Ovis aries: one gene and its partner. The protein of the gene in region 1 interacts with the protein of each later gene in a biochemical or structural test. Links are inferred from orthologs where the notes say so. Each region holds a gene or a part of one and is shown on either strand. Other genes may lie near its edges.

What was found.
Region 2: of the proteins of MAPKAPK2 (region 1) and ZFP36L1, one has a biochemical effect on the other in vitro, tested with the Homo sapiens proteins (2 studies listed by BioGRID). The link is inferred for Ovis aries from reciprocal best matches to the Homo sapiens genes MAPKAPK2 and ZFP36L1.

Annotation. Positions count from the first base shown.
Region 1 is NC_056065.1:4,330,369-4,336,245, reverse strand, and holds the end of MAPKAPK2 (MAP kinase-activated protein kinase 2), read right to left. Parts: intron 5,494-5,877; coding exon 5,354-5,493; intron 5,190-5,353; coding exon 5,125-5,189; intron 4,872-5,124; coding exon 4,792-4,871; intron 4,311-4,791; coding exon 4,184-4,310; intron 3,579-4,183; coding exon 3,503-3,578; intron 3,146-3,502; coding exon 3,021-3,145; intron 2,764-3,020; coding exon 2,678-2,763; intron 2,578-2,677; coding exon 2,497-2,577; intron 1,988-2,496; coding exon 1,844-1,987; 3' UTR 449-1,843; downstream 1-448. UniProt on the Homo sapiens protein: Stress-activated serine/threonine-protein kinase involved in cytokine production, endocytosis, reorganization of the cytoskeleton, cell migration, cell cycle control, chromatin remodeling, DNA damage response and transcriptional regulation.
Region 2 is NC_056060.1:78,699,024-78,705,366, forward strand, and holds the start of ZFP36L1 (mRNA decay activator protein ZFP36L1), read right to left. Parts: upstream 4,141-6,343; 5' UTR 4,003-4,140; coding exon 3,946-4,002; intron 1,499-3,945; coding exon 539-1,498; 3' UTR 1-538. UniProt on the Homo sapiens protein: Zinc-finger RNA-binding protein that destabilizes several cytoplasmic AU-rich element (ARE)-containing mRNA transcripts by promoting their poly(A) tail removal or deadenylation, and hence provide a mechanism for attenuating protein synthesis.

The DNA.
Region 1 (5,877 bases):
TTCAGCTGATGGTTTGGTTTCTGCCTTCTGTCTGGCCTCTGGCACCCCCTACTGGAGCTCGCAGGTACACCTGCTCCTCGACACTCCCCCAGGAGTCTCCATGCCAGCCCCAACCCTGACCCTGACCCTGACCCTGACCCCAACCCCAACCCCCGGCTGAGAATGTCAGCATCTGGCCATGGCTAAACAAGTCTAAGACCGGGCTGGGAAGCAGCTGGGCTCCTGATTCAGTAACTGGCAAAGCGCGCGGGCTCCCCCGCTGCAGGGCCCGTGCCCAGGCCAGAGACATCCCCCAGGCCCCTGATAGGGTGGGCGCTGGCTCCCTTGGGCCGGGGGCTCGCCTCTCTCCCCCAGGATACCCCGACTCTGCCCTCCCCTCACCACGCATGGGAAGACGAGAGGTGGAGGGCGTCAAGCGGCTGAACCTCAGGAAGGAAGAGAGAAAGCCTTTCAACTATTAAATCTGTTTAGTAAAGACAATTTTGCTCATACAAAACGACAAGAGTTCACAACAGTCTGAGAGCTGGGCGCCGTCAGAAGCGGGGAGGCGCTGCGGGCAATCGGTGCCTTGCCCTCGCACCCCGAGAAGGCCCCGGGCACCCCCAGCCCTGCCCGAGGGAGATGAGAGCTGAAGCACCACCGCCCCTTGCCCCAGGGACCGCGGTGCAGGGGCCCTCCCCACAGTGCTCAGGTTAACACGGGGCCTCCCCACCCCACACTGGCCTGGACACGTCGCTGAGTTGTTTGGGGCGGGGGGCGAGGGAGCAGCTGGTGAGGGAGCAGTTGGTGGGAGAGGGGCAGAGTCGGGACATCTTTGGTGCAAAGCCTCCCCCACCCGCCCGCTGGGCGGCGCCATGGACACTTGCAGAGGCCACGGGGGGTGCCATGCTCGCCCCCAAGGGACTGTGGACCGACAACCCGGAGCCCAGGAGGCACTCAAAAGCCAGGCTCACCCACGTGGGCTGAGGGCGGGCCTGCTGCAAAACGGCTGCAGACATGAGAGAACACCAGCAGGTTAAGAACGGCAGGAAGGGGGCGCAGAGGCCTGACTTGACAGCTCGGCGCCTTGGCGGAGGGTTCCAAGCGGGGCTCCAGTCTTCCTGGCGCTGCGCCAGTGCTCCATGCGCCCTTGTCTGCGCGGGGAGCGGCCCACACAGGCGGGGCCGGCGGCCTGGCTCAGGGCCAGACAGGCTCCCAGGCACTTGGGCAGGCCCAGCACGGGCAGGGTGGGCCTGGGCAGGGGAGACGGTTCCGAGTGCGGCAGGGGCCCCGCACACGCACACGCACACACACTCACACTCACTATCCGTCTGGCACACCGGGGACATCCGAGGGCTCAGCAGAGCCTCCGGGCCTCAGGCCCCACGGTCTGCAGCTCCTGGCAGGCCTCAGCCAGTGGGAACCTGGGGCTGTAGCGGGGAGGTCAGGGGGCCAGCGGCGCAACGCAGGACGCCCCTCAAGAGGGTTCCACAGACACCCTAGGACACACCGCAAACCCTTGCAGTCTCCAGACAGGACGGGGCTTGGGGTACACGGACGGGAGTGAGGGCAAGAACAATAAAAGAAGGTTCGTAAAAATTCTAAGTCAAATTACTGATAAAATTGCCAAATGAGCATAGGGTCGAGGGCACGGTGCTCCCTCTCCCCGGGGCCCCAGCCTCCCGGGCGCCCCCTCTCAGGCAGGTGGCCGGAACCGAAGGCAGAACGCAGCCTCTGAAGAGGTCCTGGCCCCTCGCGGCCGAGGAGGAGGGGAAGCGGGAGGAGGCGGCTCTGGGTCTCTGTTTAAAAAATCCAGCCGGGTGGATAGTTATTGCTTGTCCTCCAGCGGAGCGGCAGGCCCAGCTCAGTGAGCGAGGGCTGCGGCTTCCAGGGCCCGCGCTTTCTTCCGCCTCTTCAGAAGGAGAGGGTTGGACGCATCTTCAATCTTTTTTATCTTGATCTGCTCGTAGTCGACCCGCATCGTGGCCAAGGCACTGGTCATCTCCTCCTGGGGGTGGCGACCGGGAGAGACATCAGAGACCACAGACGGAGCAAGGCGAGGATGGGGTGACGTGCGGGAGCGGAGACAGAGGGCAAGCCGGCCGGAGAGCCCAGGGCCGGCTCAGCAGAGCCCCCCTAGGGCCCAGAGCCCCCCAGCGAGCCTGGGGGAGCAAAAAGGACCGACTAGGAGCCAGGAGACCTGGTCTCACGTCTGCTCCAGCCAGTCATTAGCTGGGCGACTGTGAACAGGGCACGCCCCCCAATCCCGGGCCCCACCCAGGCCTCAGTTTCCTCCTCTGCAAAGTGAGGAGACTGCAGAGGACCTTTCAGAGGCAGAGTGTAGGCTGGCAGGAAACGGCCACAGCCAACTTTAGACTGACACAGAAGCCTCTGCCCACAGCCAGGTTAGGGAAGCGGCTCAGAGTCGCTGTGGTACCAGATGACACGGGGTGAGAGGATGCAGAACCAGCCGCCTCCCTGAGCACCACTGAACCCCCCGGCCAGGCGCCCCCTCACCTTGACGTCCTCCCACCTCTCCTTGTCCTCCTTCAGGACCCGGCTGGTGTGCAGTGGGGTTTGAGGGACCTTCGTCGATTGCTGGGGGCAGAGACAAGGGTCCAGGTAAAGACCTGGAGCGGGGCGGGGCCCCCAGGGACCGGCCCAGTGGACCCAGGCGCCTCCAGCCCGCCGGGCTCACCATGATCCAGGGGTGGTTCATGAACTCGGTGATGGCCATCCGCTGGGTGGGCTCGGTCTTCAGCAGGTTCCGGATGAGCATCTTCACTGCGGGGGGAAAGCAGGGTGCTCACAGGGCCCAGAGACAGCTCAGGGGCTACCCGCCCCTCCTGCTCCTTCCCAGTTTTCAGGGAGAAGCCAGACTTACAGGGGGCATGGACATAGACCACTCAAGATGCTTGGCCCTGAGGAACACACACACACACACACACACACACACACACACACACACACGCGCGCGCACAGGAACACACACACAGGAACACACACACACGCACGCACGCACGCACGCGCGCGCTCTTTACCTTCCTCTGATACTTCTGACCATTCTGGGTTGGGGAATTCATACTGGCCCATTCGGATGCGACTCTTCATGCCCGGAGAGATGGCAAGGCCGTGGTTGGAATAGAAGGGGGGGTACCCACACAGCCTGAGCCGACAGGAAGCAGGAAGAGAAGAACAGAGCTGATGTTATTTAGGTCCCACACCAGGACTTCTTGCAAAGTTCACAGAGAAACTGAGACTCACTGATTCAGGTACAAAGTCAGGGACAGGGCCCAGGAATCCAACATACCGAGTATCTAAACCACACATCTTCCTGCCCATTAGCCAATTCGTAGCAATGAGCTGTCAGAGTCCACTCAGCACTGAGAAGGGACACGCAGGACCCCCAGGGCACCCCATCCAGAAGGGGACACTAAGCATGGCCTCTTCCTCTCACCCCAGAGGCAGAGGCTTCGGTCCACGCCTGCCCAGCCCGCGCCCCCAAGCCCCGCCCCACACTCACAGGATGTACATGATGACGCCCAAGGACCACATGTCGCAGGACTTGTCGTACTTCTCTGGGCCCAGCACCTCTGGAGCTGCAAACAAAGACGAAGGCAGTGGGCCTGGGCCTCGGAACACCAGGATCCACCCCGGCCCTCTGTGGGTGATGTGCCCACCCGACCCTTCAGCCCATCATGACGGGACTGCAGCTAGGCCTAGAAGGGGGCAGTCGTAGCCCAGGCCCAGGGCTGGGTAAAGGAGACCCGAAGACCCTCCTCAGCGGGGAGCCCGAGGGCCAGAATCTCAAGATAAAGCAAGTCTTGAACTGCAAGAGCGTTTTAGACTGCCTTTTAGTTTGACAAACCCATTTTGAGAGTTTCCCCTGTGCAGTCGGCTGGGGGCCCCAGACCAGAGGCACATCCCTGACCCCCCTGGGGGTCTGACGGGAACAAGAGCTCTTCTCAGTGAAAGTGCACATTGGCACAAACTTCCACCCATAACCCCACACACATAACTTCCCATACCACTTCAGGCCCAGCGAGACCTGCTAAGCCCACTTCAGGTCAGGTCACATCAGAACCGGGCTACAAAGGGCCGGCAGACACAATTCTTCTGGGCCCTGGGGCCCTGAGACCAGCAAGAGGAGGCTGTGGGAGAAGCTCCGGGCAAAGACGGGCTCCCAGGGTTTCTCCAGACTTACCCACGTAGTATGGTGTGTAACAAGGAGTGGTCAGAGAGTTGTGACTGGTGGTTTCCTTGGCAAAGCCAAAATCAGTGAGTTTGAGAATGGCATTGGGCCTTTTGGAGGTGTATAAGAGATTCTCGGGCTAGAGAGAGAGAGAGAGACAAGGAGCATCTCTGCTGAACCTGTGAGCGGCCATCAGAAACCCGCAGGGGAATGATTCCTCCCTTCCTTCCCGCCCTCATTCAGCAACCGTCTGTCCGGCCCCTATGATCCGTACACCATCGGGACCCTCAGCCCCTGCCTCCCCAGATATCACAGCAGGCGTGGGAGTAAGACGCTGATGCAGAGACAGAGTGAGCGCCACAGGGACACAGACCAAAGGTGGGGTGTGGGGGGTAACTGAGGAGCACGGCCTCAGAAGGCTTCCCGGCCGGGAGGGGGATTTGCCCAGAGGACAGGGCCTGCGGGGCAGAGAGGCGCTCTGCCCACTCTGCGGCAGGAGCCAGGCTGCAAGGACGCAGGACAAGCCTGGGGACCCTTCCGAGGGCGACCGTGGCCCTGACCCCTACGGCCTCCGGGCCCCCTGGGTTGGGGGCTGGGTGGGCAGTAAAAACAGCTGGTACCTTGACATCCCGATGGGCGATGTTGATTGAGTGCAGATACTGGATGGCCTCGCCGATGCTCTTCATGATCTCTGAAGCCTCTGCGGAGGAGACGGGAGCAGGGAGCCAGAAGCCAAGTCACAAGATGCGTCCTTAGGTTTGAAAAGCTGAGGCAAGAGCCCTCCCGGGAAGCCTAAGGCCCCTGACGCCCCCACCCACCCCAGAAGGCGAGGTGCAGGAGCGGGCAGAGCCCCAGCAGCAGGTGGGCAGCGGGCCTGAGCACCTCCCTGGGAGCAGGCCCCTGGAGCCCCGCTGCCCCGCCGCCCAGCTGGGCCCGCGACAGACCCTTTCTACCTCTTTCCGTGAAGGCTTGGTCTCCTCGGTCCTGGATTCGACTGAACAGTTCTCCGCCATCCAAACTGAAACAAAGCCACAGTTAGACTGAGGCCGTGACATCGCACTAGCGCGCAAGCCACTACCCTCCAAGAAGAACGAGGTGCTTGCATGCTGAGTTTCAGCGCCCCCAGCCTGCAGTCCTGGGAAGGAAAGGGGACCGGGCGGGGAGCAGGGTCGGGCTGCTCACCACTCCATGACGATCAGCAGGCACTTCCGCCCCGCGTACAGGTTCTCGTAGACGTCCACGATGCGCACGATGTGCGGGCACTGCGAGGCGCGCCAGTGCAGCTCCACCTCGCGGCGGGCCTTGGGGCAGTCCTGCAGCATCTGCAAGCCAGACCTCCTGAGGGAGCACGGGGGCTGCCCCGCCTGCACCTCCCCTGACCCGGCCCATGTGCCCGTCAGCCCTCACCGGCACGCCACTGAACCCTGCCCCCACATCTGCACCCCGCCCGCCCCGGCCCATCAAGTCCCCTGCCCCAGCCCATTGACGCCCCACCCTGCCATCCACCTGCCAACCCCGGTCCGCCCAACCCCCGCCCCAGCCCATCAAGTCCCCTGCCCCGGTCCATCAACAGCCCCTGCCCCGGTCCATCAACGGCCCCTGCCCTGGTCCATCAAGTCCTCTGCCCCAGCCCATCCACCCCCTACCCAGCCCAGCACCAGCCCTCTTGTCACAGCCCTGCACCCCCTCCCAAGCCTGACTTGGGG
Region 2 (6,343 bases), on another chromosome or scaffold:
TTGCCAGTGGAGGGAGCTGCTGGTTCTACATGCCCCCCCCCACCTCCCCCTCCCCCTGGGCAGAGGCTCTGGGGAGGCCCACGGGTGCCCTCTGGCGCTGAAGAGGTAATGTAGTCACAGTGACAAAGTTAGATTACAAGGCACTAAGTTGCTTCTGTAAACTGTTACTGCTTTTTCTTTTGTGATTTGGCACTTAAGGCTTAAGCCAGGGCGGGGGTAAAAAAAAAAAAAAAGGCATCTACTGACAAATATGGGACTTGTCTGTTATGCATGGTTAAGTGGGCTATAAAAATCGAGGGGGTTCAAGCCAGAGGAAGCTACTGACAAACTGACTTGTCCTTATGTTGGGGGGTGGGGTGTAAAGAGGGGAGAGGGAGGGGGCATTCCAAGGTTCTGGGGGAAAGGGGTTGAGCTTAACCTTGTTAATGTAGGGGTTTGTCAGGAATCAGAAGGGGAGGGAGGTAAGGGTAGGGGATGTCGGGAGGGGATGAGGGGGTGGGGGAGGGGAGTAGGCAGGGGCGTCCCTCCCTACCCTGGTTTAGTCATCTGAGATGGAAAGTCTGCTGAAAATGGGCAGGCGTCTTGAGTTGTCCAAAGTAGGGGAGTCTGAGCCACTATGGCTGCTGCTGGAGCTGCTCAGGTAGCCCTCCTGGTCCGAGAGAGAATCCTGAGGGCTGGGGGGAGAGTCAAACATGTGAGGGGACTCAGACATGGGCCGGAAGAGGAAGGTGGTCGGGGAGCCACCCCCGGGCAGCCCCATGCTAGGGGCAAAGAGGCTCGCCAGCTCCTGGCTGGAGAAGGCGAAGGGGTTATTGGTGCCATCGGGGAGGGTGGGTGAGCCCAGGAGGTCATCGGCGCTCAGGATGGGGGGTGGGGTGATGGATGTGGGGCTGTCCAGCAGCCCCGTGGCAGCGGCGGTGGCGGCGGCACTGGGAAACCCAGCAAAGCTAAAGCTATGCTGGAGGCGGGGACGGTCAGCAGAGAGGTCCCGGGCCCCGGCCAGGGCACGGCGCTCCTCGGCGTTGTGGATGAAGTGGCAGCGGGGCCCGTATGGGCAGAAGCCGATGGTGTGGAAGGTGCGGCATAGCTCCGTCTTGTACTTGGGGTGGCGGGTCAGGCTTCGGAGCTCGTGGATGCCGTGGGCGAACTGGCACTTGTCGCCGTACTTACAGGCTCCGTTCTCCTCGAAGGGGCGGCACAGCTCCGTCTTGTAGCGGCTGGAGTTGACCTGGCCGCTTCCCGGCTGCTTCTGGGGGGGCAGCAGCCGCTCGCCCCCTTCTGAGAAAGAGCGGTCTCGGAAGCGGCTGTCCCGAGAGCTCAGAGCTGGGGCTGGCTCACCCTTGAGGCTGCTGAGAAGCTGGTTCTGGTGGAATTTGGAGCTGGGCAGAGTGACCGAGTGCCTCCGGGGAAAACCCCCGCCGGCAGGGGTGCCCACCGCCTTCCTGTCCAGCAGGCAACCCCCGGCACTGGGAGTACTGTAGTTGAGCATCTTGTTACCCTGGAGGGGAAAGAGAGGAGAGAGACTGTGGTTAGTGGCAAAGGCCATCCACCAGGCCCAAGAAGAGTACCCCCTAAGGGCAGCCCCCTCCTCGATCAGAAATGCTCCCTCTCAAAGGAACTCACCATCCTCACCTCTCCGCCGGCAAGCCCCCTCCTCCTCTTTCTCCCATTCCCCAGAGGGTTTACTTTGGTCCCAGGCAGAAGAAACTACAAAAATCCTGGCCTATGTGAGACATTGTTTCACACATGCACCTACTCCATGCCAGTCCCTGGATCCCTGGAATGCACTGTCATATCCTGTCCCCAAAGCTACCACTTTCATCCAGAAAATCCAACTTCACCTTCCTCAGTTGAAAATATCTCACACAATTCACAAACTCTCATTTCCCACCCTCCTAACAAAAAAAGGTAAACCGCAGGAGACTATGGGCTAGGTCTCCTTTCAATCAGTCCCTGCTTAACTGACTACCTCCGCCCCCCACACACAAACACACAGCCTGGCCGAAGACTCTCAACTTCCTCCTTCAGAAGCATCTATTGCTTTGGCAACAGGTTTCCAGACTGCCTTCACTTTACCTTGCTGCTGAGAGGGGAGAGGGAGGGGCTAGAGGAGAAATCCCTGATGGGGGTGGGGGGGGGGGCGGCTACGGGGAGAGGGATGTGATCCCTGAATACAAAACTCCCATGATCCCAGAAGGGGAGCCTTCTACAATGATCTCTCCCACCATTCACTGCGCACCCCACCCCCTCCGCTGAGAGGATGCCTTTGCAGTTAGTCTCCTGGCTGCAAGAGCAGGCTTGGATAAGAGCGCCAGTGTTTAATCTTTAACGCAAAGCTGCAGGTGGGAAGGAAAAGGAAAGCACCAAATCCCCCCAGCCTCCTCCCAGTCAATAATGGACGTGGGGGAGGTGGGGCGGGGGGCAGAGGCACCACAGGCAGGTCTCTGTTCCAATGGGACTCAATTCACCTGCCCAACCTGTACTCAAGATTTGGAAAGGGTGTGAGCAGGGGACCTGGGAGTTGGCTTCCAGGCCCATGTGGGTGTCATTGTGCAAATTCTAAAGTTGGCCCCTTAGGATCAGCTGCGGGGGATCGGGAATCTGTAACAGCAACCACCCCCTGGAGCGGATTACAGGAACCAAGTGGAGAGCCAGTTCCCAACAATGAGGTTCATTTAAAAAGTCCTGAGGGGGGAGGGAGCAAGAGAAAGAGAAATAGATCAAAGAGCTAGAGAGCCGCGAAAAGAAGGAAGAAGTGCCGGCTAGCTCAGGCAGCCGCCAGGGCAACTGAAGTTTGGAAAAGCACAGGGAGGGAAGGAAACTGAAATTCAAACTTTTTGATGTTGCTCTTCAGCTCCAGGGTGTCCCTGCACCCCAACTCTGCAGCCCTGGGGCCCTGGCAGCTGCACCGACTGGAGAAGCAAGCTAGGAAAAGACAGCAACATGACTCGACGTGTTTAAAAGAAGGCAAAACACTTTAGCAATTAAAAGCAGCCAAGCAGCTTCTCTCTTTCAAACCGGGGAGAGGGGGCGAAAAAAAAAAATCTAACATCCACAGGCTTCTGTTATATACCCTTAAACTGCACTTCTGGAATAAATATTTCGGATTTAAAACTCGCCTTTTTCCACACCGGCTGGCAAGCCATACGACTTAAGGAGGCCCTCATTAAATCCTTCCTCGCCAAGACCCTAGAGCTCAGACGGGCATTTTGTCGTCGTGTCTCCCCCACCGCCCCCCCCCAATCCCGTCCATATCCACGAATCTCATTTTCTCAGAAAAGAGGGAAGCGGGTGAACCCGAGCGCCACTTTCACCCCCAAAGTCTGCAGCACGATCGGCTATCACAAGAGGAAGCCTGTCGAGCTGGGGCGAACTGAAGTCCCAATGCAAACTCGTTTGACAACATGCTTTGAATCACAACTCTTGGCCTTTTTCTCGCAGATCCCCAGCCTCTCCAGAACAGAGGGGGAAATCACCCAGCAAAACATCATCCCGAGATTCTCCTTCCCGAGGGACCCGCACCTCCCGACCTGCAGTCCGGCAAAGTGGCTGGAGAGACTCGAACTCCCTCCCGGGAGCGGCGACACCCGAAACGCAGCGGACAAGCGAAGCCGGGCTCAAGAGTGGCACGTCACGGACGAAAAGAATTACCGAAAAATTGCCCCAATCCCAAACATTGCCCAGGGAAGCCCCCACGCACACTGCGCCCCTAAAACTCTGGTCTCTGGATTCCCAGGTAATCCCCGCCAGAACAGTCGAAACGCAAAGGGTGGGGAGGAGAAAGCCAAATTCCTTCAAACTGGGGAGAAAAATGAGGCGGAAAAAACCACCATCTCGCCTCTTTCTCTCCCCCACCCCTGCCCGTCCAGACCTAAACTTTTGGAGATTCTTTTTGAGGACAAAAGAAAAAAGACTTTGAAAAGCAAGCGGTGCGCCCCACTTTACCTTGCATAAAACTTCGCTCAAGTCGAAGATGGTGGCAGACACGAGGGTGGTGGTCATCTTGGGCGCTCGCGCGGGGCAGGGACGAGGGTCTGGTGTGTCGCGAAGGTCCCGGTGCGGGGAAGGCGCAGCCTCCGGCTCTCCGGTCAGGAGTCCCACACGCCTGCTCCCGGCGCCCCTCGCCTTTCCGACTCTCCCGAGCTGCGGCGCGCGAAGCCCAATTTATATAAGTTTCAGATTTGGTGGGCCGGAGGGGGAGGAGGAGCTTTAAACTTATTTAAATGAGGAAGAGAAGAAAAAAAAGTTGATTGACACTGAAGTTGAATCAGCCATGCGGTCAAACTCGGGGGAAAAAAAAAAAAAAAGAAACTTTCAAAAGGAAGAGGGGGGAGGGGAGACGAGGAAAGAAGGCGAAGAGGGGGGAAAAAAAAAACCCACTGCGAGCCGCGCACAACTTTTTTTTTTTCTTAAAGAGGAAAACTTTCGAGTCCGCTCGCCTGTCTACCTCGGGCTGCCGGCGCCCCTTTCTGGGGCCGCGCGCGGCGCGGGGGGTGGGGAAGGGGCGCCCCCCTTTTGTCAGCCTGCGAGCGCTGCTCTGTGACATCACTCATTCCACACTCTTCGGGGTTCTTGTTGTTGTGTTGTTATTTTTCTTTTCTTTTTTTTGGTAGGGCTGGAAGGCGGGCTCGACTTTCTCTTTTTGCTAGCGGGAGCAGAAGCCCGTCCTAAGCGCCCGGTTTCCATCTTGTGCCGATCTCCCTTGAAACTTCTCTAAGTTCCCGCACAACTTCGCTCTTTCCCCGGGATCTTTTCAGCCCTTGGTTCCCCTCCGCAAATCCCACGGGGAGAGGAAACTGGAAATACGGGGAGCACAGAGCGTTCACGTCTAGGGTTTTGTTTATTCAGGGGTGGGGTGAGGGACAAGGATTAAGGAGGTTCCCCCCCAAAACACACACACACACACACCCTGGAGGACCGGGCCTGGCGACGGCGAGCACCAAGCGATTTCGCGCGCCGCTCGCGTCTACACTGGCGTTCGCTGTGCAGCGGACACCCTCCAAGTCTGGGCCGGGGCGGGGGGGCGGGGGGCCGGGGGGGCGGGGTGGTGGGGATGCTCCACGAAAAAGACCCCCGCCCGGGCTGTTTGTTTTCACAGGCCTGGGAGTGGTATTTATTGCACGCAGTAATCTTTAAATAGTTTTCTAAAACAAACCTGAATCCTCACGAACGCCCTTCTGCCCACCCCCGAAAAAAAATCACCCAGCAACGCACAACTTGCCCCGCGCTCTGAACCACAGGCTGCGCCCGAAACTCCCTAAGCAACACGTATACACACCACAGACGCTGGAACCAAAAAAAAAAAAAAAAAAGTTACTTTGGTAAGAATGAAGATACAAAGATGGGGGGAGGCGACACTTACTGTTGCTTCTCCCCCGCCCTCACGGGAATGGAACATATGGCTTGTCACACTGCGCTGTTTTGGCGGGATGGGGGGAGGGGGCATGGGATCCTCGAAACCGAAAGGCCTCGAGTTGGCAATTACTCTTCTGAAAATTGGAAAGTATATATTTATTTACTGTTTGTTCGGACACCCCTCCACCCACCCAAATAAAAAGTTGCGAATGCGTCCCCCACAGACCGAGGTGGAAACCGCGGGGCTGCGTTTCTTTCCTATTTCCCCGCGTGCCCGGCCGCCTCCTCAGCCCTCGCACGTTTCTTCCCAGCACTCGAGGCCGCCGGGTCTGTTATGAAACCCCGTGCGCTGAGTGGCTAAGAGCGGGTTCCATTGCGATGTAATTAGGTCACCCCATTATGAGCACGTTTCTTTGAAAAGGTCCGGGCGGGCGGAGCAGAGCGCTGGAGTCGCACTCTCGCCGCCTCCACCACCACACATATTTTTACTGTATTTCTTATTTACTTGTCGGCCTCCGAGCAAACCCGGAAACCTTCCAAATCACAACTGTTTTAGGAACCTGTTGTCTTTTTTTTCCATCTTCATGAAACACACCACCTTTGCTGCAGCCATGAACCAATGTATGTGCAATGTATGTGATCCCCAGTCCGCTCTGCTTTTATTTGTCCCCTGTGACTTAAGTTAATGGCCCCCATTTTTAACCTGGCCGCTGCCCCCTTGCTTTTCTTCTTTTGGTGTCTTCTTTTGCCTGTTGCTTCCCTCCCCCTGCTCCCATTTTTCAGCTTTTCTTGAAATCTGGCAAGCGCCAGAAGGGGAAATAACTTCCATCCACCTTAATTTAAATCATTCAAATGTAGGTTTCTTTCTTAAAGGGCTGTTTGCTCTCTCTCGTCCCCGCTTCGAGGAGGGGGGTGGGGGGAGCGGTTTCGTGCAGTTTCTTAGTGATGAGGTAATGAGTTCCAGATTTCAGGACAGAATAGGGTGCGC